Styela clava: one gene and its partner. The protein of the gene in region 1 interacts with the protein of each later gene in a pairwise test. Links are inferred from orthologs where the notes say so. Each region holds a gene or a part of one and is shown in the gene's direction. Other genes may lie near its edges.

Region 1 (11,043 bases):
GATTGTCAATTATTGCCTTCATTATTTATACATTTCCTTCCGTCTTAATCATTTTTGTTATTTCATATTTTTGATAGCATTCATTATGTTGGAGACATTGAATAAAAAAGCATAAGATTACGAATTTTATTTATTGTTCAAACCTGTCTGTGATTTTAATTGCAAAAAATATGAATGTCATGCTTTTCACTCCATGTATAGGACATAGAAGTTCAATATCTCCTAATTAACGTTGGTGGTGACAAATGATCTTGATCTTCAAATATCTCCACTTTTTTTTCATTATTGTGGAAGGTGAGTAAATATTTCTCCCTATCATGCTGCAAGTTCAAGAATTTTACAGTCTACCTAACTGGTCGCAATCCAATTGTGTCTAAGATGAATTACCCAACCTTCGCGAACCATGAACTAACCAACCTACAGTCTATGTGTACTATCGCGGAGGGCCTATGTTTCAGCCCATTAGTTGTACAACCACCAACCCAATTGCTGGAATATAGAAAGTAGAAACGCTATGACTATTCCATGACTTGCGGAGTGAGTCTGTATCTAATTAATTGAACTTCATAATAGTTTCCAAAAATCGTTCCAAGATATTGTGGCGATTTTGCGCCGATTGGTCTCTAATCGTCCATCGCCTGACGCGCAAATTGACACTAGGAAGTACGTCACGACACTAGGAAGTACGCATAGTATGGGTGTCTCGAAAATGTCTTGTCCCACTTGTCTCTCGTGTCCCACATTTTTGAAACACCCGGACAAGTGGAACACGACGTTTTTTAGACACCTCGTACAGTATCGGCAAATCGTATGGCAAAGTTTCTTGCGCATGATCAACTGGGCGTGGAATATCAGGCATTAAGACCTGAACTGGAGTGAATTTATGGGACACGTCTGTGGACATAACGATCGTTTTACAAATTTTTTTGGACACCTAGTGGAAAACGTAAAAAGTCGCTTTTCTCTTTGATTACTGGACCCATTTATTCAAAATTTCCAGTGGTTGAAGATGAATTTTTTTCTAGAATGCTATTACTTTTATTTATTTCAAATATTCCTGATAGCACTGGGATTTGTTTTTATGCTGGCACTTTTCTTTTTGTTTTTTTGATGACATGCTCATCGAACATCGGTGGTGTGTAAAGAAATTCTTGCTCTGCTATGGCGAGCAGCGCCGTAGGTACCAGCAGCGTCAAAGTAAGAACTGCTCCGCTCCGATGGACGTGTCCATATATTTGAGCATTGGTCTTAATACCTGAAATCTTAGCGTTGGGGTTCGGTTAATTTATTCGAGATGTAAAATTTAGCATGTGCTAATGGGCAAGGATTCATGACTGGATCGAGGATAGAATGAAACACGTCCGACCGGAGTTAATTAAAGCAGTGTTGTTCATTTTGATCTGCTAGAACACAAAATAAAAACAACTGACTCACGCCCGAAAACCCAAAATCGTGTTTACGAATGTTTGCATCGAAAATTTCACGAGTGCAGCTTGTGAATGAATCGGTGAAAACGTTGAGCTGGGATGCATGACCATTTTTTGTTGAAACCGTCGTCAAGAAGTCCAAGAACCGTCAAGTTGGAAACATGAGACTAATAAATTGTTTTCTAATGAATTGTTTTTCACGTACATGAGTACTAACTTGTTTTCACTGCGCACATCCTAGTTAATATGAACATCTAAATTAGGGATTAAGGTAGGCTAACCGAATCTATTGATTTATCAATGATGCAACTTTAGCCTGAACCTTTACAATTTGCATATGGTATATATATATTTACATATTTTTTGCTTCTAAATGATATGGATGAAGAAGATTTGCAAGTTTCGGTTTGTCTGACACTCGTAGTATGAAATATCCAATTCCTATTTGGGCGTATACTTATTTTAAACGCATTCCATGCATCATTTTTTACGCCGTAAACTTAGGATAGGATAGGATTTACATATTTATCCCGGGGGAGAGGAAAGCCGATAAGACGGCTTATCCATATGGCGAACCACGGCCTCTCGTCCGGTTACCATTCCAAGTCGGGTATGGGATTAGTTTTTACTGTATTGTTTGTTTTCGGAAGCATGGACTTGGTGGTGGAGGAAGCCGTAACCGACCAGCGGTTACGTGAACCACCCAACGACGGCGAGGAGTCCAGCAATCCTCTCGCACATAACCATCCCTGCATGGGATTCGAACCTGCGAACCCACGCAGAGTAATTAGAGGTGCGGTGGCGAGCGTATTCCTAACGCTTAGCCCGTTGAGCCACACCGCCGCCGCCAACTTCTTGTGTAAGCTGACAAAAATACATAATGTTGCCGAAAAACATATCCATTTCTTCGATTAAAACAATATCGTCCTGAATTGATGGTTTGAATTTATTAGAGAGCCTTCTAGTAGAATACCTCATATACAGTGGCGGCGCGTGGTCATTTTGACAACCGGGGCAAGCTACTGCGGGACCAAGTCACCCCCATCTACGGGGACAGGATGAGCAAAACCGGTCCAAGTCAAGGGATTAATAAATATAGACATAGTTTATTTTGAAACCTTATTCAAAAGGAAAGGCAATATTTACCCAGATAAATACAATGACATATTAACAGAAACTTCGGGAAAGCAGACAAAACCTAAAATAAGGTTTAAAACGTTACTATGAAGAAAGGAAAGTTAATGCAAAGATAAGGACATGCGTCGCTCACTCATAGATATATATGCTGCTAGGCTTCTACTGCTTGAACATATATGCAACACGCCGCGGTTTCTTGGAAGCAAAATGCTCAATAACGCGCTGATTAAAGTCATGCATCCCAGAAATAACGTCTCTGTGAATGGATAAAACAGCCAAGGAATTTAATCTATCTTGCTTCATTGTGTTTCTGAGATACGTTTTAATATGCTTCAGCGTGCTGAATGTTCGCTCTGCGTCGGCGGAAGAAATAGGCGTCGTCAAAAAGATGTCCAGAAATTTTGCAGACGCCGCAAAGGTAGTTACTAGAGTGTTATCTATGAGGAACCTATAGAGCGCGCAAGTTGATGTGATGTTCAAAAAAGTTTGATTGATGTATATACATCGCAATTCATTTTCCAATTTACCCACGTTTATCATGGGGTAACATTTGGAGACAGTAGCCAACAAATGGATGGAAAATTGACGTGCAAATTTTGAAAATTTTTTGGGGTTCATCAAAGAGAACACGGCAAGGTGTCCAGTGCGCAGACGATCGCCTATTTGATTCACCAGAATGTCACAGCATTCCTTTGCAGACAAAATCAAACGCTGCGTTGTTTGCCCGCGCGTAAAGAAGCACTCCATGTGTCGTCGTATTTTATTGTTTCCCGGATACGAGATACAGCATCGCAGAAGTCTGAAATACACGACTGCACAGACGCTCCATCCATTAGCCTTGACTGCAATGCGCCGTATAATACATCCACGTGATAGAATATTGTGGAGAAAAAAATGAAAACTCACCATCTTCTAGCAGACGCTTTAGACCTGCCGCCTCCCTCACAGAGCGTTCGTCCCAAACCGGAGAGCTCTGAATGCCATTGAAACACTCAATGAGCTCAGACCTAATTTCGGACACGCCCTGCACCACGCGTGATTGGAAGTTCCAACGTGTTGGTGCACAAGCTGGGAGACGGCGGCTACATATCTGGCGAAGGAGGTCAGAGCGCTTCGGCGAAACGGAAAAAAATGAAGAAAACCCCGAAACATTTGCTAAAAATATACGGACGAGAGGGGTATCAAGACACATATTTTTAATAACGAGGTTAAATGGGTGTGCATAACAATGTAAAAAATGCGCATGAGGAAAATCTTCTTTTATATAAACTTGAACACCATGTTTCGACCCACTCATGACTGCCGCGCCGTCATAAGTTTGAGCTATCAATTTTGACTTCGCGTTGTAAGGCTGTAACACTTCTTTCAGTACAGCCGATATCCCGCAAGCCGTGCGATCAACGATTGGTACAAAGCTGTGAAATCTCTCGGTAGGTTTACCATCTTTCACAAACCGAAAAATCACAGCCAGTTGGGAAACGCACGTGATGTCAGTTGTCTCGTCGGACTGAATCGAAAGGAACTGGCAATTCTCAATTTCCAGAGCCAAATGTTGTAAATAAATTTTATACATTGAGTCGAGCAAACATTTTGGATATCCTTAGATGTCCCTTTCGAAACAGTTGCGGCATCAAGATGATCTCTCAATACTGTATCTAGGGATGCGGTGTATTCCACCATATCCAAAAATACCCCTCTATTAGAAGAGCCAGCCCGTTCACCGTGCCCACGGAGGGACAGCTCGTGACAACCAATGAACTTCAAAACATCTATCAATCGACCGAGAACATGGCGGTTTTTCTCGACGTTTTGGTTGTGCCGACGAATAGAAACCGCGCGTCCTTCATCCAACTGTGCTGCAATATTAACATTTCCGAATGTTCGGTATTTTACTGCATTGTCCAGATGCTCCATAGAAGATTGATGATCCCTGGCACGCTCGGAAAGATGTTTAAGATCTCTAAAACCAAATTTACACCAACGTGAGTCACGGGCGGTAGCAAAAAGTAGGCAATAAAAACCAAAAAGTGCATTTTTGTCCTCGCTGTAACACAACCATTCGTGTTTTTTATACCAAGTTTCTGCGCAGAATGTACGCCGACGCTTTCCTCCGTCATGGGATTGTTCCAGTGAACAATTTTTTGGTTGATAAGGCCCAATACGTTGACGTTGTACCTCTAATTTTTGTTCCAGCGGCAGCTGCGAAAACGGAGTGCGAAGTAGTGCATCAACCTTATTCATTATGAGGTCTAAGGCTAAGAAATGCGAAGCCGGAAAGAAGTGAGGAGCTCAAAAGGAATGTGGAAAATCGAAAGCAAATGGACTAAAGGTCTCTAACTGATTCAAATAGCGAAACAAGCGACAAAAACGAAGGCGAGGAAACTATCAACTCTTCAAGCAACCAACGAACGAGAAGGAATGCGTGAATATGTCAACACGTTGTAGTAAGAAACGTCGGCATTGTGTCGTCATAATTTCGGGGCTAGCCCCGATCGGCCCCGATGATTTAGTAAAAGAAACAGAAAAACAAACGAGACAAACGCGGCGAGTGGAAGATAAAAGAGAGAATACGATATACAATGAGCAACCGGGGCAAAATCGGCGTCGCCCCGTCGACGTTCGGCGAAGGCTTTGCGAGCGAAAAATGAACCATGTCGGGAGAATATGGCTAGTGTAGACAGTCTGTGCAACCGATATTGAGGTATTTTTCGAATATTTTTTATTATACCGAAAAAACAACCGGGGCATTGCCCCGGTTGGCCCTATTGACGCGCCGCCACTGCTCATATATATATACTGTACTAATTTTGTAAAAATAAATCAATTCAAATGAAATAAATTCAAGTGTTGTCTCTGTTTATTTTTCTCAAAGTAAAATTTCATCTAAAGTGTTTAGGTCAAGTCAAGTTTATTTTTTCCAATCAATTAATCAAACCATGATGGTGCACTCCTCCCGGTATATATATATTGGTTCATTTTTGGATTTGAAATTTCGCTATAATGTACATGTTGCAACATACTTTATAATAAATATTTATATTTCTTTTCTTGGAACAAATCTTTAGATAAGTATCTATTTCGGGAAAAAAAAAGAATCAAATGTATTTATAGAGCAACTATTTATGGTGAGGCCAGAATATTTCAGATCGGACGTAACCAATCTGGGAGGCAATTCGCGAAAACTCGAATATATGAAAATGGAAGACACCCCCCGAAATAGGCCCTAGTGTTATTTTTCGAAAGAAAATTGAAACAAGACCCTGTCTTATTTTCGGGAAAACACGGTATACGTATATATAGTATTTCTATTTCTGTGAACCATTTGACAAAAGCTATTATCCAATATTTCAATGCAGTTTGAAAACGAATGACTTGAGCTGCTAACGTTTTTGACTTATTATCTTTCGGATTCCAAAGTTGGGGTTCGACGGGGGCTCGCAGAATATCGCAGGGGTTCGGGAGGCTCGCAGAATATCGTAGGCGTTCGACAGGCTCGTAATCGTAAAGGTTGAACCACATCCTATCAGAGTCGTTTAGGATAATTATTTTCGCTGTGAATGTGGTATTGAAAGACGAATAACTCATGATCCTGTTTTAGACGAGTTATTCATATGGAGGACCTAAGTACAAACGTTATAAAGTGTTGTTTTCCAAAAGACGTTCCGGAAATGTAATACGGTGGGTTAGTTGAGTTCGCGCTTACAGCACCGGTAGGATTTGTACAATTTTTATATTTTCCATTTATATTTGTTTTGGTTGACGAATCAAAAAATTTCCTCTCTCTCTCTCTCTTTTGTTTTGTAAATCTTACCCGATAATGCCGAATTATCCATGTCGAGGTATTCACGTGACAGCGATATATAAAGTGGTGTTTTCCCGAAGCAGTTTCATAATAACTGCATCGCTGGTCGCACCGGTTAAAAACAAGTAGCCTAGAGCGATATTGGAACGGCGTCGTACGGAATATGTCACAAGGAATGAAGGTATGGTTGTATTTATTTACGGTACTGGTATATTTAGGAGTTAGCTTTATAATCCAAATGTTGAAGTTCAACATTTGAATCATACCTGTACAGTTTACGATATTACCTGTACTGCTGTAACGTTACTGGTACCATAATTAGTAAATTCTATTCAGTCTCAAACGTGTTCGAGAAAACTTCAGCACATTGCATATTTCTATCCTTTCTTATGAACGGACCCTGTTTACTCTTATAAGTATATTCATGGTCAGATAGTCCTGTATTCCAGGGTTTCCCAAACTGGGGTTCGCGGACCCCTGGGAGTCCGTGATGACTGCACAGGGGGTTCACAATGACATGACAAGAGTCTGATCGTTAAGGATTGATGTCAAAGAAAAAGCCATTGCACTTGGTTGAACGCTGCGTACGCATATTGCTGTTAGAAAAGGCAATTAAAGGTCATATTGCCTTTTGCAAAGACCTACATGCAGACATGTGTGGCAGTATTTTCAGCTCTTACCAATATGATGACAAAATACAGGTCGAGACTTGCCCTAGAGTCGGATCTACGAACTTGCTCGTCACAAATTGCTCCGAGAATCGATAAATTGCTGAATTGTGCAGTGAAACGCAACTTCATCCATCACATCAGCAAATTACAGACATTAATGCCGTTTGTGCTGTAAATGAAACATTATCCTTTTTCGTTGGTTAGGCACAGAAATTGATACAGTATACAGTATAGGATTCATCAAAACTAAGATAAACAAATAGGGGTCCGCCGCTCAAAAAGTTTGAGAAACCATGCTGTATTCCAATCATCTGATGGTCTGGATTGACTAAAGTTACTTAAAAATGAATTGAGTTTTGTGATCAAAGTTTTCAATAAGCTTCTCGTATCTAAATATTAATCAATACTATTTTTTTAAAGGCTGGTGTTATCGAAGGCTGTCGAATGCCTGTTCAGAGAGACCTGGAGGGTCAATTTGAGTGGCGTAAGATATTTTTTTAATTGGATGTTATTTAAATTCAGTAACACTATAATATTATGCTGATTACACTTGAAGTTGAATAGCCTACAAACTTTTTGCCTCAGACTTTCACTCCTCGGACCTTCCCAATCAGATGGCATTATGACGATTTGAGTAATGACTTACACAAACATTCATAAATTTATTCACTGCATCTACATGTATTTATATATTATATTATTATTTTTGGACAACTCTCAAATCTGGTTGAAAAGGTCCACGAGGCAAAACATGTGTGGCGCGAAAAGTTTGTATATCAATTCTATACCTAAAAACATTGGTACAAAATACAAGTTTCAATATTGGTGATAAAATATTATGTTATCTATTTTGATTTAATCACTTTTTAGTCCAGCAGATTTTGGCGAAGAACTATTTTTCAAAATATTCTGAGTCTTGATTTGTCATTTCATTCCAAAGCTTGATAAACCTCCCGCATTTAAACTTTTACAGTGTATATAGGGCACTATGATATTTTTTCATAATGTTTTCTCTTCTTTCATAAAGTGTGTATGAGTAAGTTGCAACCCTTTTTAAATGTCTCTATTTGTATTTCAGATCTGGCAGAAGTTCTCAGTATTCGAGATGTTAACAACAAATTTGAATATTATGTTCACTATATTGACTGTAAGTTTTGTGTAAATATCAACATTGCATGACTGGCTGATGCATTATTCTAATACTATGTACATATATAGAAATATTAAGTTCCATCTATGTTCATCAATAGATTTTTTCCTCAATTATCTGGAAAATAACAGCTGACCTATATAGTTGCATTTTTACTATGTAGGAGTGAATGGAAATTTCATAATATCTTTTCATTTTTGATAGTTAATAAAAGATTGGATGAGTGGGTTGCTGCAGAACGACTTGACATGTCAAAGATTCAATTTCCAAAGAAAGATACAAAAATAGGAACCAAAAGAAGCAGTGACTCTGTCCATAATAGTCCTGATAGGGAAATTGTTGTTGTAAGTACTTTTTAATGGAATACAAATAGATAATCGAATGTTGCTTTTGTGGGCATTCTATGCTCGACTACTGTTTCTGAACTTTTGTGTGAATGTGAAACGTGAGGATGGGAATGCTGTTTGCTGCTTTTCAATTTTTCTCTCAGTTCAAGTTTGTGATTTCTTTTTCAGCAAAATGGAACTGCGCATCCTTCAAAAGTTACGGCAGCAATTAAAAAGATGCCAAAGATAGGAAGAAAGAGAAAAGGACCTGAAATGGGACCAGAAGAGGTAAGAATCTTTGGTACTCCCGTAGTATGGGCAACAAGATGGCAGACACCGGAACGTAGTATGTGTATCAGGGTTAGGCCATAATTTCAGGTACAAATACTACAGGAGTCACTTGGCTAGTCCCCGAACTTGTAATATAACTAAAATAAGGAAAATTGGAATAAAATTATGGCCTAACCCTAACCTCGTACACATACTATGTTCAGGTGTCTGCCATCTTGTTGCACATACTACGGGAGCGCTGAATCTTCTGTGTGAGCGATTTTTTTTGTGGCTGAGCAAATTTATTTCCAAACCAGTGCTCATGGATGAACGGCCATTGTCTGATTTGAATCAAAAATGAACCAACGAAATTGAATTTTCGAACTACAATAAGCATGCAGTTTAATCTTGTATAAATCAGTCATGTGAGATTTGACTTAAATTTTGACTTTTGCCCACCAGTAATTGCTTGTGCTTTTGTGATTTATCAATTTACTAAATGACGTATTTGTTCCATCTTCATTCTAAACAAGACTATGTGATTATTCACTGACACAAAGCTACTATGGGAGTTTGAGGAACTGAGACCATTCTTGTTGAGCATATCCCACACAATGACACTGATTTCTACAAGAGTACAACATGCTAACCACAAGACATATACTCCCTGTTTCAATATCTTCATCTTTTAAAGGAATCGCAAGATTCATCAGACAATGCTCCAAGACAGACCGGGAGTATGACAGTTCATGTAAAAGAAGATAAAATAAGTCGAATCAAAAATATCCATTCCATAGGTGAGGTTTTATACATATCAGCTGAATTGGGTAAAATAAGATAACACTTTAAACAACAATAGTAATCATCATCTTATACCCCAAAGCAAAATTCATGGCACGCTTCAATTGATTAATTAGCATCATACTTGTTCATTATTTGATGTCAGATGTATTTTATTTGGTATATTTAAATTTTAATTATGTAGCATATATTTTATGAATATTTTGAATGTGGTATTTCATTAAAAATGTTTGCTGTTTGTTATCAGTGGAAAGCTTGTCATTGATCAAGCTGATTAAACAGTGTCTACCACCTTGTGGATAACATTAAAATTCTTCAATTTACTGTTTTATTATTTTAGTACCGGTAACTAAATCAAGATTTGTACTGAATTTACTTCATCAACTTTGATCTAAATTCTAAATCTTGCTTACATTGTTTTTTCAGAGGTTGGTAAATACAGATTGAAACCTTGGTATTTTTCACCTTATCCTGTTGAATTAACTACATATCCTGTTGTATTCCTCTGTGAATGGTGTTTGAAATATGTTAAAAGTTTGACGTGTCTTCAGAGACATTTGGTAAGACATTTTAATTTATGTCCTAATGATAGCAAGATGTTTATAGTAGTGCGTATTGTAGTAATTTGTCCAATATCATTGACACCAGTCTGAATGTTAACTCTGCATACTGCATTTGAACATGCACTGCATTTGGCACTCTGCAGAAATTGGCTTTTTGGGAACGTTAGCTCCATCCTACAGCTTTCGCCTTTTTTGTTAGAAGAAACCTTAGTGAGCAAGTCCCCTTGCTATATAGGCAAATTTTTTTTCTATTTAACTATTACTATAAAATGTTGGTTAAATGACCATCTAATCTTGTATTGAATTAGCTCACCATTTTAATGCGTTTCAATTTTCAATTATTTTGTTATCAAGCTATCTACCCTTTTTTTTAGACAAAATGTCAGTTGAAATATCCACCAGGAAATGAAATTTACAGAAAAAGCAATATATCATTTTTTGAGATTGATGGGCGAAAAAACAAAGTTGGTATATACTTAAATTTATATACATAAAGTATAAACCCATCAGTATGAATACTCTTGATTTGTAAATTTAACAACATAATTTAAATCATGGATAGCTGAAGTTGAGTACCGCATTTGCATTCGATATATTGAATTTTTTCTTCAGAAATATTCTATATATTCCAGTTTGAAAACCTGTTATTTCATGAAATTGGCAAAAATGTCAATATCTAGATAAAGTTGTAATAACTTCTTGAAATTTATTGCCAAGTGTGGAGTTGGCGAGGTAATACTATTGATCCAAATTTCATATTCCATGTTATATCAAATCTGTGACAAAATCAAGCGGCGTGTTGTGCATTTTTTTGTTAAATAGTTGTTTCTATGTATAGTATTTTTATCTATAATCTATTTTTATTTAGTCCTACGCTCAAAATTTGTGTCTTCTTG
Region 2 (10,650 bases), about 4.6 Mb from region 1:
AAAAACAAATCTCACAGAAATATTTGAAATAAATAAAAGTAATAGTCTTCTGGAGAAAAATTTCATCTTTAACCAGTGAAAATTTCGAAGCAATCGGTCCAGTAATGAAAGAGAAAAGCGGTTTTTTAGATTTTGCACTAGATGTCCAAAAAGTGTCAAAGAACAACAACAACAACAAGAGAGCAAAGCTCAAATATATGGACACGAAAACTATTTGCAATAACTGCATCATGCTGTTAAACCGGCAAATATTTTTTGCATTGATGAAACCGCAACCACCATATTTCATAACATGTTGAACACTATTGGAAAGATTGTAATGCTTCCCCCATACAGCCATACCGGTACCAGACTTGGAATGGTACCTTACCGGTAACCAGACAAGAGGCAGTGGTTCGCAATATGGTTAAGCCGTTCTATAGGCTTTCCTCTCCATCGGGATAATAATGTAAATCTTATCCTTTTTGTAAAGTCTCTTCCTCTGCTTATTTCTGTATTTACTGATTTATGTACACTAACCTGCTGCACATGTTGAAATTTTTGTGAAGTTTCTTCCTCTGCATACGGTATCATACGTATTTATGCAAATGTTGTTTCCAAAAAAATGTAACGAAACAGCCAAAAATTAGAAAGGCATAGCAGCTGTGCAGACATGCTGGCTCATTACAAAAACTTAATTCCAATGCAGGCACACACTCTAAACAAATATAATTAATGCAACTAGTACAGTAATACTGTACTAGTCTACCGATATCGTACCTGTACAGCTGTACCGGTACGTACCGTAACGGACTACGGTACCGGTAAGACGGTACGTAAACCTGTAAACGGTACCGGTACGTGCCGTACAGGCCACAGGGACTGTCATAGCTTTCCCAGCTACCGTATCGTACCAGTATCACTTTCGCTTAACACGGGAACCACAGTCTACAAATATTGAAATATATGGAAAGTGAACATTGATTGATTGAACACCGCGCGAAACAGTACCGGTAGTTTAACTTAACCTCAAAAACCTTTCGAGTTTATTGAAATCGCAAACCGTTGCATTGCTGCATTGCGGGTACCGGTAACCCCAAACATCCCATCATAAACAACTCTTAGCGGAGCAAGAATTACGATCGCTTCTCAGTTGATATGCCTTCGCGCAATCGCCACAAGGTGTCACTATTTTTTATTCTGATCACTTCTTTGAACACAAAAAACGAATCTCTCGAAGTCCACAGGAAATTTTAAAATAAATAAAAGTAATAGCCTTCTGGGGAAAAATTTTATCTTCAACCACTGAAAATTTCAAAGCAATTGGTCCAGTATTCGAAGAGTAAAGCGACTTTTTAAAAACGTGTCAAAGAACAAGAACAAGAACAACAACAACAACAACAACATAATATTGAAACGATCGTTATGTCCACTTCGCGGCTGCACAACTTTTAAAATAATGTGAGGTGCTCCGAAGACGCTCTTGTTTACATTAACGTAAGAAAACAGTTGTCGTCGGAACGATTCCAATAGGAGAGAGACCGATAACGTCAGCCAGTTCTTTATCGTAGGCGCCAATGCCATTTCGATCGATCGTGCGTATATTTGGCAAGCTCTATGACGTGATTGTGATGTCGTAGTGATTTAATTTTTTGATGGCGTAATCAGATGGGGGTTAGGATTGACATATCAAAAAATTGTTATGCTACGTTAGGTACCGGTACGAAACTACACGAGACCCCCATGATCGCGTTCGACTATCGCACTCTTTATGAGTAGAAAATGATCGTGTTTTGTGATAGGTGTGCCGCGAATATTTAAAGAGCTAAATAGTGTGCCGCGATATAAAAAAAAGGTTAGGAACCACTGTCCTAGATGCTCTAATATTTCTGTGTCTTTATTACATGAAATAATTACGTGATTTTATTGTCATGCAAGTTGTTTCAATCTTTTACTTAATCCCGAAAAGTCCCGGGATTATACAGCTCAATCCCGGGATATCCCGGTACGGGGATTTCAAAAATTGGCCCCGAAACCCCAACCCTTGAACTAATAAACGACCTTATTGCGTCTGTTATTTATAGGTCGTCGCATGTAAAATATTTTCCGATTTCAGAATATATATTACAATATTTTACGTAGTTAACATCTTGGGATTTTCATATTTCAATATTTGAGCCGGGGTCATATGGCGAACCCCGGCTCTCGTCCGGTTGTCAGTTCATGTCGGGAATGGGGGGCAGGGAGAGATTTATTTATAACAATGATGGGCATTGGTCCATCTGTCCATTCTGCAATATAATGAAGAACTGCCTATATGCCTAATCCATAAACTAAAATGAATATCTTCAAATGGTAGGCCTACTCTGCAGATCACAACATGGAATACCGTACAATTCGAAATGGACAATATAACTTGGAATATTAAAATTGGACTGGATAAATACTGATGAAAACCTTATCCAGTTACTGCTGTACCGTGCTGTCTTAAAATTGAGAAGGCCGAAGTAATTTTGTGTTCGGGGAGGATTAGTTGCAGTCACAGGCTCACGGCCGATTTATACGATGAGAGGGCCTAGGTCAGTGATTCCCAAAGTGTGCGATATCGCGAAAAAATTTACTTCGATGTTTGGAAGTACCTACATCAGGGATGGCCAATACCGAATAGTTCACTATTTCGAATACATTCGAAATTATTATTTTCGAATATGAAATTTCGAATACTTCGAAAATAAAATCCAGTAATAGAATCTAAGTGTATGAAGGAATTTTCATACAATAAACAATGGAATAACTTCTATCTACAACCTGGCTATATTACCAGGCATTTCATGTTTGCAGATTATTGCGATATATATTTTATATAACATGAGTTGTGTTAATTAACAGAATTAAAATAATACGACAAGGCATTTTAAATAGTGGTATCGGTGATGGATTTGAATGCTTGCGCAACACAAAATCATCCTAGTAAAACGCCCATACTTTTAAATACCAACCATTATCCAAATTATTTGTCAAAAAGCGGGATAAAGTATGAGTTCTTTTTCAGACTTGAGACAATTTTTTCGTGAGTACAAAAATACGAATCAAAAAGTAAATATATTCGGGAACTTTACCACACATTTTAAGTCCGCAGATCGCCGTTGTATGTTTGTGTAATAATACTTTTATTATTTTATAAATACGAAAATAGGGTTCAAAAACTATTTATAATCGGGTAGTTTACCACACATTCAATGTCCACAGATCACCGTTGTTTTTGTAAATACCAAAATAGGAATCAAAAATTAATATCAATCGCGAGTTTGCCTCACAATTTATGTCCACAGAATGCCGTGATATTGTGCCCGAATATAATTAATTTTTGATTCTATTTTCGTACTCGAAAAAATTGTCACAATTCGGAAAAATAATTTGTACTTTATTACACATTCAAGTCCACAAATCGCCGTTGTATTTTTGAGTTATAATAGTTTTAATATTTTGTAAATACGAATCCGAAATTAATTATAATTGGGCAGTTTACCACACATTTCATGCCCACAAATACCCGTGGTATTTGGTATTAATACTTTCATTCATACATTCATTTCATTCATACATACATACATACATTCATTTCATTATCGATACTTTTGACCATCATTATCAAAATTATTTTCCAGAAAGCGGGTGAAAGTATTTTTCTAATAAATCAACTTGTTTCCCAACTTGTGACAATTTATTGGGTATCGTAACAATTGCGGCTATAAATACCGTATTTCCCGGCTAATAAGTCTACATGGCAAATAGGACAATGTATATTTTTAGCACTCAAAAAAGGGGGTTTTCCATATAGGCCTCCAAGAAGACGGGTAGAAAAATTATTCCCTGTTGTTCAGTTATGCTAATATGCGCTAATAATAATGTTTAGAACCAGATCACGTTTGTTTAGTAGAATCATACTCACAGAATTAACTATTTTTAACAATAAAGCGGTAATTTTAAGTTAAAAATCAAAATCATTTTGAACAATCTATAATTTTATAGGGTCAGAACAGAACCAGATCATGTTTGTTTGGTAGAACCATACTCACGGAATTAACTATTCTCAACAACGAAGCGGTAAATTTAAATTATAAAGCGGCAATCATTTTGGACAACCTATCAACCCGAATGTTGAAATAATTTTGGAATGTGATAAGTACCACACGGTACGTCCACGGGTTATTTCACAGCTGTGTTTCATGTCCCTGTTGTTTTCTGCTGAATCGGCAAAACCAAAGGGTCATAAATCACTTACTTTATCTCGGTGGCGGTGGCCGTGTTTTCTCTTTTAAGTAACGATAACCGGCCTACGATTAAATATCATGATTGGCAGACCCATAAGAACCAAATATAAGGTTCAACACAAATTATGCTTGAGAAGACTAATGCGAAAAATAAGCAGGCCACATAGAAATGAAATAAACATGCTTTCTCAATAAGGCGCCCCTCCCCCAAAAATCAAGCCAAAATTGGGTCTAGAAAAGCGACTTATTAGCCGGGAAATACGGTGATTGTCGATTTTTCGACTAATGGAAATGATTTTGTGAATTAAAAGACGAATGTCGGCAATGTCCACCAACGCAAACGTGCAAATGTGTCGCAACACTATGCGACGTACATTCGCGCTGAATATAAACAATCAAAATGCCGACTCTATTTCATCGTCATTACAATACGTGAGAAAGCGTAAAAAGTCGTTTGAAGATTCCGGTAAAACGAAACACCGTGTTTACGGGGAAAAGTGACTACTATTCGTAATTATTCGGAAATGAGCCGAAAAGGTATTCGAATACCTTGATATTCGAATAATTTAGAATATTCGATTCGTTCTGGACAACCCTGACCTACATACAGATTTACATATTTACCTCGGATGAAAGGAAAGTCGTTATAGCTGTGGTTCGCCATATGATTGCGCTGTCTTGTCAACTTTCCTCTCCCCCGCGATAAATAATATTATAAATATAATTCAAAATATGCAAATCCTATCCTAAGACGACTTAACAATTCCAAGCCGTGTATGGGATTCTGGGATTAGTAAGTCAGTTGTTAAATATGAAGATTTATTCTGGTATTCATTAATATCCCAGTCCCTATTGCTATTGTTCTTGTTACAATGTGAACAGTTAATCAGTATTGTTTATATTTATGTGTGTTGCAGATAAGTTAAATATAATTACAAACTCAAAATGTCAGATATAGGTAATAATTCTCACACAGAGACAGAGAGTGAAATTTGCACACACTACATAAGAAGATGTCTGTTAGAGTGCTCTACATGCTGGAAATTTTATCCTTGCCGCCTATGCCATGATGAGAAGTGTAATCACAAACTGAATCGCTACCTTGTGAAGCATATCAAATGCAACAATTGTAGCACTGTTCAAGAAGTTTCTCCAGAGTCAGTTTCAAATTTAATGATAAAACCTTGATAACAAGCTTCTTGGCTTCTCGTTAAAATAGTTGATCGCTTTTTTTTTAAATTTGTATATATATTCTTTGTACTGGCCATTTTTCTAACATAGTTTCAAAAAAACTTTTTTTATTGATATTTTCCTTAATCTAATAGAACCTTGAGCTAAGAGCTCTTAAAAAGGCATTAAAATTATAAACCAAGCTTTGTGACCTAATTATGTTTAAAAATTTAAAAAATATTTCAGATGCAAAGTTTGCAGTACAAATTTTGGAAAATATCACTGTTCTATATGTAACATGTTTGATGACAGAGATCGTAAGCAATATCATTGTGATGATTGTGGTTTGTGTCGAGTAGGGGGACGTGCAAATTTTTTTCACTGCGCGAAATGTGATCTATGTTTAAGTATTGATATCAAGGATTCTCATAAGTATGTATTTTTCAAATTAATTTATGCTCTTTTCGTTGTTTTGTATTTTTATGTCAATTTCAACAATTCCTCAATCTCAACAATTGTTCTCTCAATCAGATTCATGCATGTACAAAATAAAAATGCCAAATTCACACTCTGCTGTTTCCCATTTTAATTTATAATTTGTCAATGGCATTTAATAAGGTTGATTTTTGGTATTTACAATTTATTATATTCAGCCTTTGAGCATTGATTTAGAAGGTTTAAAATATGCAATATTTTATTACCCTTGGCTTAGGGGTTAAATATTAATGGAAAACGATATTTAAAATTTTTGTTCTTTATTGATACACATTGTGTTGAGAGCTTGTGGCAAGCTTGTTACTTTTTATTAAGATGTGTGGAAAAATCATCGAAATCCAATTGTCCAGTGTGTTTAGAAGATATGCACACATCCACGGAGTCATTAAAGGTTCCCTCGTGTGGCCATCTTATTCACCAGTGAGTTTTTTCATTAATGTTTTCCCATCTACCAACATGATACCATGCCACACTGGTGCAATTGTGTGATATGAATGAATTTAAATTTTTTCACGAAGGTTTTGTCACTTTTTTACAAGGCTATTTAAACTTGAAATCACTCGATAGTCTTGCTGCATATTGTGTAACTTTTCTTTTGGCTGTGTGTAAGACTTTTCAGACAAGAAAATTTGACTAAATAGTCATAGTGGTATATCAAAAGAATTCTGATTCTAAACTTGGTTAATCAAAGGAATAGTTGTGAAATTTAGTTGTGGTTTGATTGTGGTTTAAGCTTGTGGATCCCTAATTTATAGGGGAAAATATATAGGTGGTCACTAGTCGTTCTTCAAAGAGTTGTAACAATGATTTTAACTAGTTTTGTTTTAAATTATCTCTACTCCAAAGATTGTTATTTGTCTTGGTTCTGGTTAACATATGCTAAAGAATGTTCTCATAGTTTTTTTGATAGAAAGTTTTTTATGTGTACTTGTTGGCCATCTGCATCTGCACAACACTTCTTTATATCATCATTTATCATCAAGTTAATGAATTTGAAATTTTAACATTTTATGATTGAGTGACTTCGCAATCATAAGAATTCGGTGATTTGTTCAAGTCAATCTTTCAATTCCCTTATTTGTTTAATATGAATATTGAAATAGCTTCATGACAACACCCTTCAAGTAATTAAGCCTTTATCTTCCAGAAAATGCTATTCTGTAATGCTTCAACACAATGAATATCGATGTCCGTCATGTGGCAAATCGACTTTGGAAATGTCAAAAGTTTGGGAAAATCTTGATGAAGAGATTGCTGTGACACCTATGCCAGACGAATATGCTAACACATTGATATGGATTCTTTGTAAGGACTGTCAGGGAGTGTCTAATGTCCGATTTCATGTTCTGGGATTGAAATGTTCTAAATGTAAATCATACAATACATGTGGAACAGGGCAACCTCAATCCAAACTTCTTGAGACTGAGGAACCTCACACTTGACAAACTGTTTACTCCTTTCAGTTGTACTAATTTTTGTCTGGCAGGTTTTACTTATTTTTATCAAGGATATAATATTCCATGTTTATCGCTTGGTATTTATGATTTTTAGTCACACACAGTTGATATTGAGATATTTCAACGTCAATTACGAATTTCAAATTATTGAAGAGGTGTTTTCACTTTGAATAAACCTCCAAACCAGTGGTTCTCAACCTTTTTTCTGTCGTAGCCCATTTTTGTTGAACAAAGATTTCATGGCCCATTAACTTTTCAATGCCAGGATAAAACTACAAAAAAAAAAAATCTTCCCACAATAAAGACACTTTCACTTTATTGATGATTAGAATGAAAATTACCACTCCACAGCAAACAACAGAAGCATCTTTTATTGCTACTGCAATCAAAATTTATTTATAGTGACACAAATGTAAATAAATTTATCAATAACTCTTGTGCAATTTACAGTAGGTTTTGGCCCACCTGGAAATGTTTCTGTGGCCTAGTAGTGTGCCATGACCCACTCGTTGAGAACCGGTGCTCTAGACCAGGGGTGCACAACACGCGGTACGCGTGCCAAATTTGGCACGCCATACGCTCAAACGTGGCACGCGAACAGTTTTGTGAAAAAAAAATATTTATGATACACATTAAAATATCACGTTTATATCAAAATCAGCAGTTTTTCAGGACATTAAATTGTTTCAATAAATAGATATCCGTTATTATGTATTATTATTGAAATTTGTTTGTTTTGCAGGAGTTAATTTACAATACCACAATTGTGCGTGGTACGCGACAAGATTATTTTGAAAAATTTGGCACGTATCCTCATTTGAGTTGTGCAGCCCTGCTCTAGACAAACCGCCACTGATGTGTATGGAGCTACTATTCATGGAAAGAATTGTTCACCTAATTCATTCAACCTGGGTAAGGTGGTAGGAAAGGGGGTTGAACCTTTAACTATATAAATTATTCAATGGTTAATTTATAAACTTTGCTTGATGGTATAGTATGAAATTAGTTTTATTCTTCACTTTTTATAATGAAGAACAATGAATATATCTATGTAAAGTATGTATTCATGGTCACCCATTATATTTTTGAACAGCATTATAGCCATTACCATTAATATACTTTTTATTAAAGTATACTCTGCGTTTTCATATTGAACAGTCATCTGACCATTCTGTTTTAGATATGTTATTTTGAGAAGTCATGTATCAATTATAAATAAAATGTTGCGTAATATCTATTTGTAATATCTATCTACCTATTGAAAAGTAAAATTTCCATATTTATACCAGGCGAGATAAATATGATGAGATGGCTCAATACTATCATGGCCCTGTCACCAGATCACTAGTCTGTGATGGGTATAGATATATACAATTAGTTGGTTGCTTCTGATACAATATACTGCTCTTGCTCATATTGCAAAACGAACTTGTTGGGCATAACTGTACAAAAATACTTACATTTGTTTAAACACAAATTTGCTTTATGCTGGTGTATATAGGTTCTGCATAAGAACTGTCAGAGTTATCCGACAATAATTAATTAACAACATTTCAAGTGGGATTGAAATTTTCATACATATTTTAATCTTATATGATTATTTACAGTGTTGGGATCAATATTGACGTGAATTAACATTATCAATATTTGTCAACTTTCTTGTACCATCCCAGTGGCTACAAAAAAAAAACCACTCTAACATAAAAATGCTGGTGCTGTTATGTTATTTTAAGGTTTCGTTTGAACTTGATTTGTAATTGTGGTTTGAAATACTTGAAACATTTTCGACTTATGTCAAATGCATAGCTGCAAGTTGCATGTGTTGATTTTTCTAGGGAAAAATACTAAACTGACTATTCTTTTATGACATGAAACACGATCATCCGAGATATGAAAGCTGACATTAATTAAATTGTACTTCTCACAATAATGATAGAAAGACCCTCTTCAGTAGTGATTGATGGGAAAAAAAATCAAGATCCACATCATTTAATTTACAATATTTGAGCCTTCGACTCTCTCAGGTTATGCCATGCGCCCCCTCAAACTTAAGTTTGAGGTTGCTTTTATTTGCCCTTTATAGTGTTCTTATGCTGTTTCTTGATCAAAACATGTAGCCTACTGCTGAATAGATTTTAAATGCTCAATTTGTTTTATTCTGTTTTAACAGTGTTTTTATAGCTCGTAGGATTACAATAATATAATTAGGTATGTTAATAGTCTCATTGAATCCAAAACTTCATCAAGAAATGAAAATTGACCACATCGGTTAGCTCAATTCTGGCAGAAATTAAAATGGCAAATTGTGGAAAACCTCTTGCTCGAAATATTTGCATGGGACTGTATTTTTTCTTTTGTGGTGTGGAATATGCTGTCATCCTACCAACGATAAATGGATATTTGATAAGCCTTGGCGCAGAGCAAACATTTCTCGGCATTGTTCTGGCCTCTTTCAGTTTTGGAGGGTTGGTGAGTGCACCATTATATGGATGGGTTGCAGACAAAACCGGGTCCACTAAAGCTTGTGTTATAGTGGGAAACATCGGTGAAATTATCGGAAACCTAATGTATTTCATAGGGAAGAATCAGTATTTGGTTTGGTCTGGACGACTCATTGCTGGATTAGGATCTGGAGCGGCATCTACTCTGTTTGGACTAATTTCCCACACAACTACGGCAAAAGAGAGAACATCTATGTTTGCCATCTTGATGGGTCTACGCCAAATTGGACTTTTAGTTGGTCCAGGTTTTAACTTATTTCTATATAAGCTGAATTTCAAGTTAGGACCTTTTGTTGTAGATGAAAATACATCACCTGGACTATTCATGGCGATTTTATGGGCTCTACACACCATTTTATTTGCTATTTTGTTTAAAAATATTGATCAAAATAAGACTTCAATTGTAAATAATCATTCTGTAACTGTCAACGAAAATCGTAATTACGGCTCTTTCCAAGATGCAGAAACTACTGAAAATATTGAAGGGAGAGTTTCAATTATTGAAAGTGGATGGAAGGTGTTTATCAGAGAATTTCTCAGAGAAGAAGTTATAGTTTGTTTAACCACTGCTTTTCTAGCAATGTATGTCCAGACTGGTTTGGAAACGGCTATAACACCCATGACTAGAATATACTTCAATTGGAATGGAGTAGCAAACAGTTTAGCTTTGTGTTTGGCCGGGGCTGTTGTTATTGTTAGTTTTGCATGTGTTCATTTCTTAAGCAAGTGTTTCATGGACCGTGCATTGCTACTTTCAGGTTGTTTTGGTCTAGT

The links. The genes of interacting proteins can lie anywhere in the genome.
Region 2: the proteins of histone acetyltransferase KAT5-like (region 1) and RING finger and CHY zinc finger domain-containing protein 1-like interact in a two-hybrid assay, tested with the Homo sapiens proteins (2 studies listed by BioGRID). The link is inferred for Styela clava from reciprocal best matches to the Homo sapiens genes KAT5 and RCHY1.

Annotation. Positions count from the first base shown.
Region 1 is NC_135257.1:5,466,932-5,477,974, reverse strand, and holds the start of histone acetyltransferase KAT5-like, read left to right. Parts: upstream 1-6,112; 5' UTR 6,113-6,529; coding exon 6,530-6,547; intron 6,548-7,457; coding exon 7,458-7,521; intron 7,522-8,115; coding exon 8,116-8,184; intron 8,185-8,391; coding exon 8,392-8,531; intron 8,532-8,702; coding exon 8,703-8,801; intron 8,802-9,477; coding exon 9,478-9,580; intron 9,581-10,010; coding exon 10,011-10,144; intron 10,145-10,521; coding exon 10,522-10,611; intron 10,612-11,015; coding exon 11,016-11,043. UniProt on the Homo sapiens protein: Catalytic subunit of the NuA4 histone acetyltransferase complex, a multiprotein complex involved in transcriptional activation of select genes principally by acetylation of nucleosomal histones H2A and H4.
Region 2 is NC_135257.1:10,033,219-10,043,868, forward strand, and holds RING finger and CHY zinc finger domain-containing protein 1-like, read left to right. Parts: upstream 1-5,150; 5' UTR 5,151-5,198; coding exon 5,199-5,410; intron 5,411-5,669; coding exon 5,670-5,855; intron 5,856-6,233; coding exon 6,234-6,338; intron 6,339-7,065; coding exon 7,066-7,360; 3' UTR 7,361-9,545; downstream 9,546-10,650. Other genes in the region: uncharacterized protein LOC120345755, read left to right, coding at 9,671-10,650. UniProt on the Homo sapiens protein: E3 ubiquitin-protein ligase that mediates ubiquitination of target proteins, including p53/TP53, TP73, HDAC1 and CDKN1B. Mediates ubiquitination and degradation of p53/TP53; preferentially acts on tetrameric p53/TP53.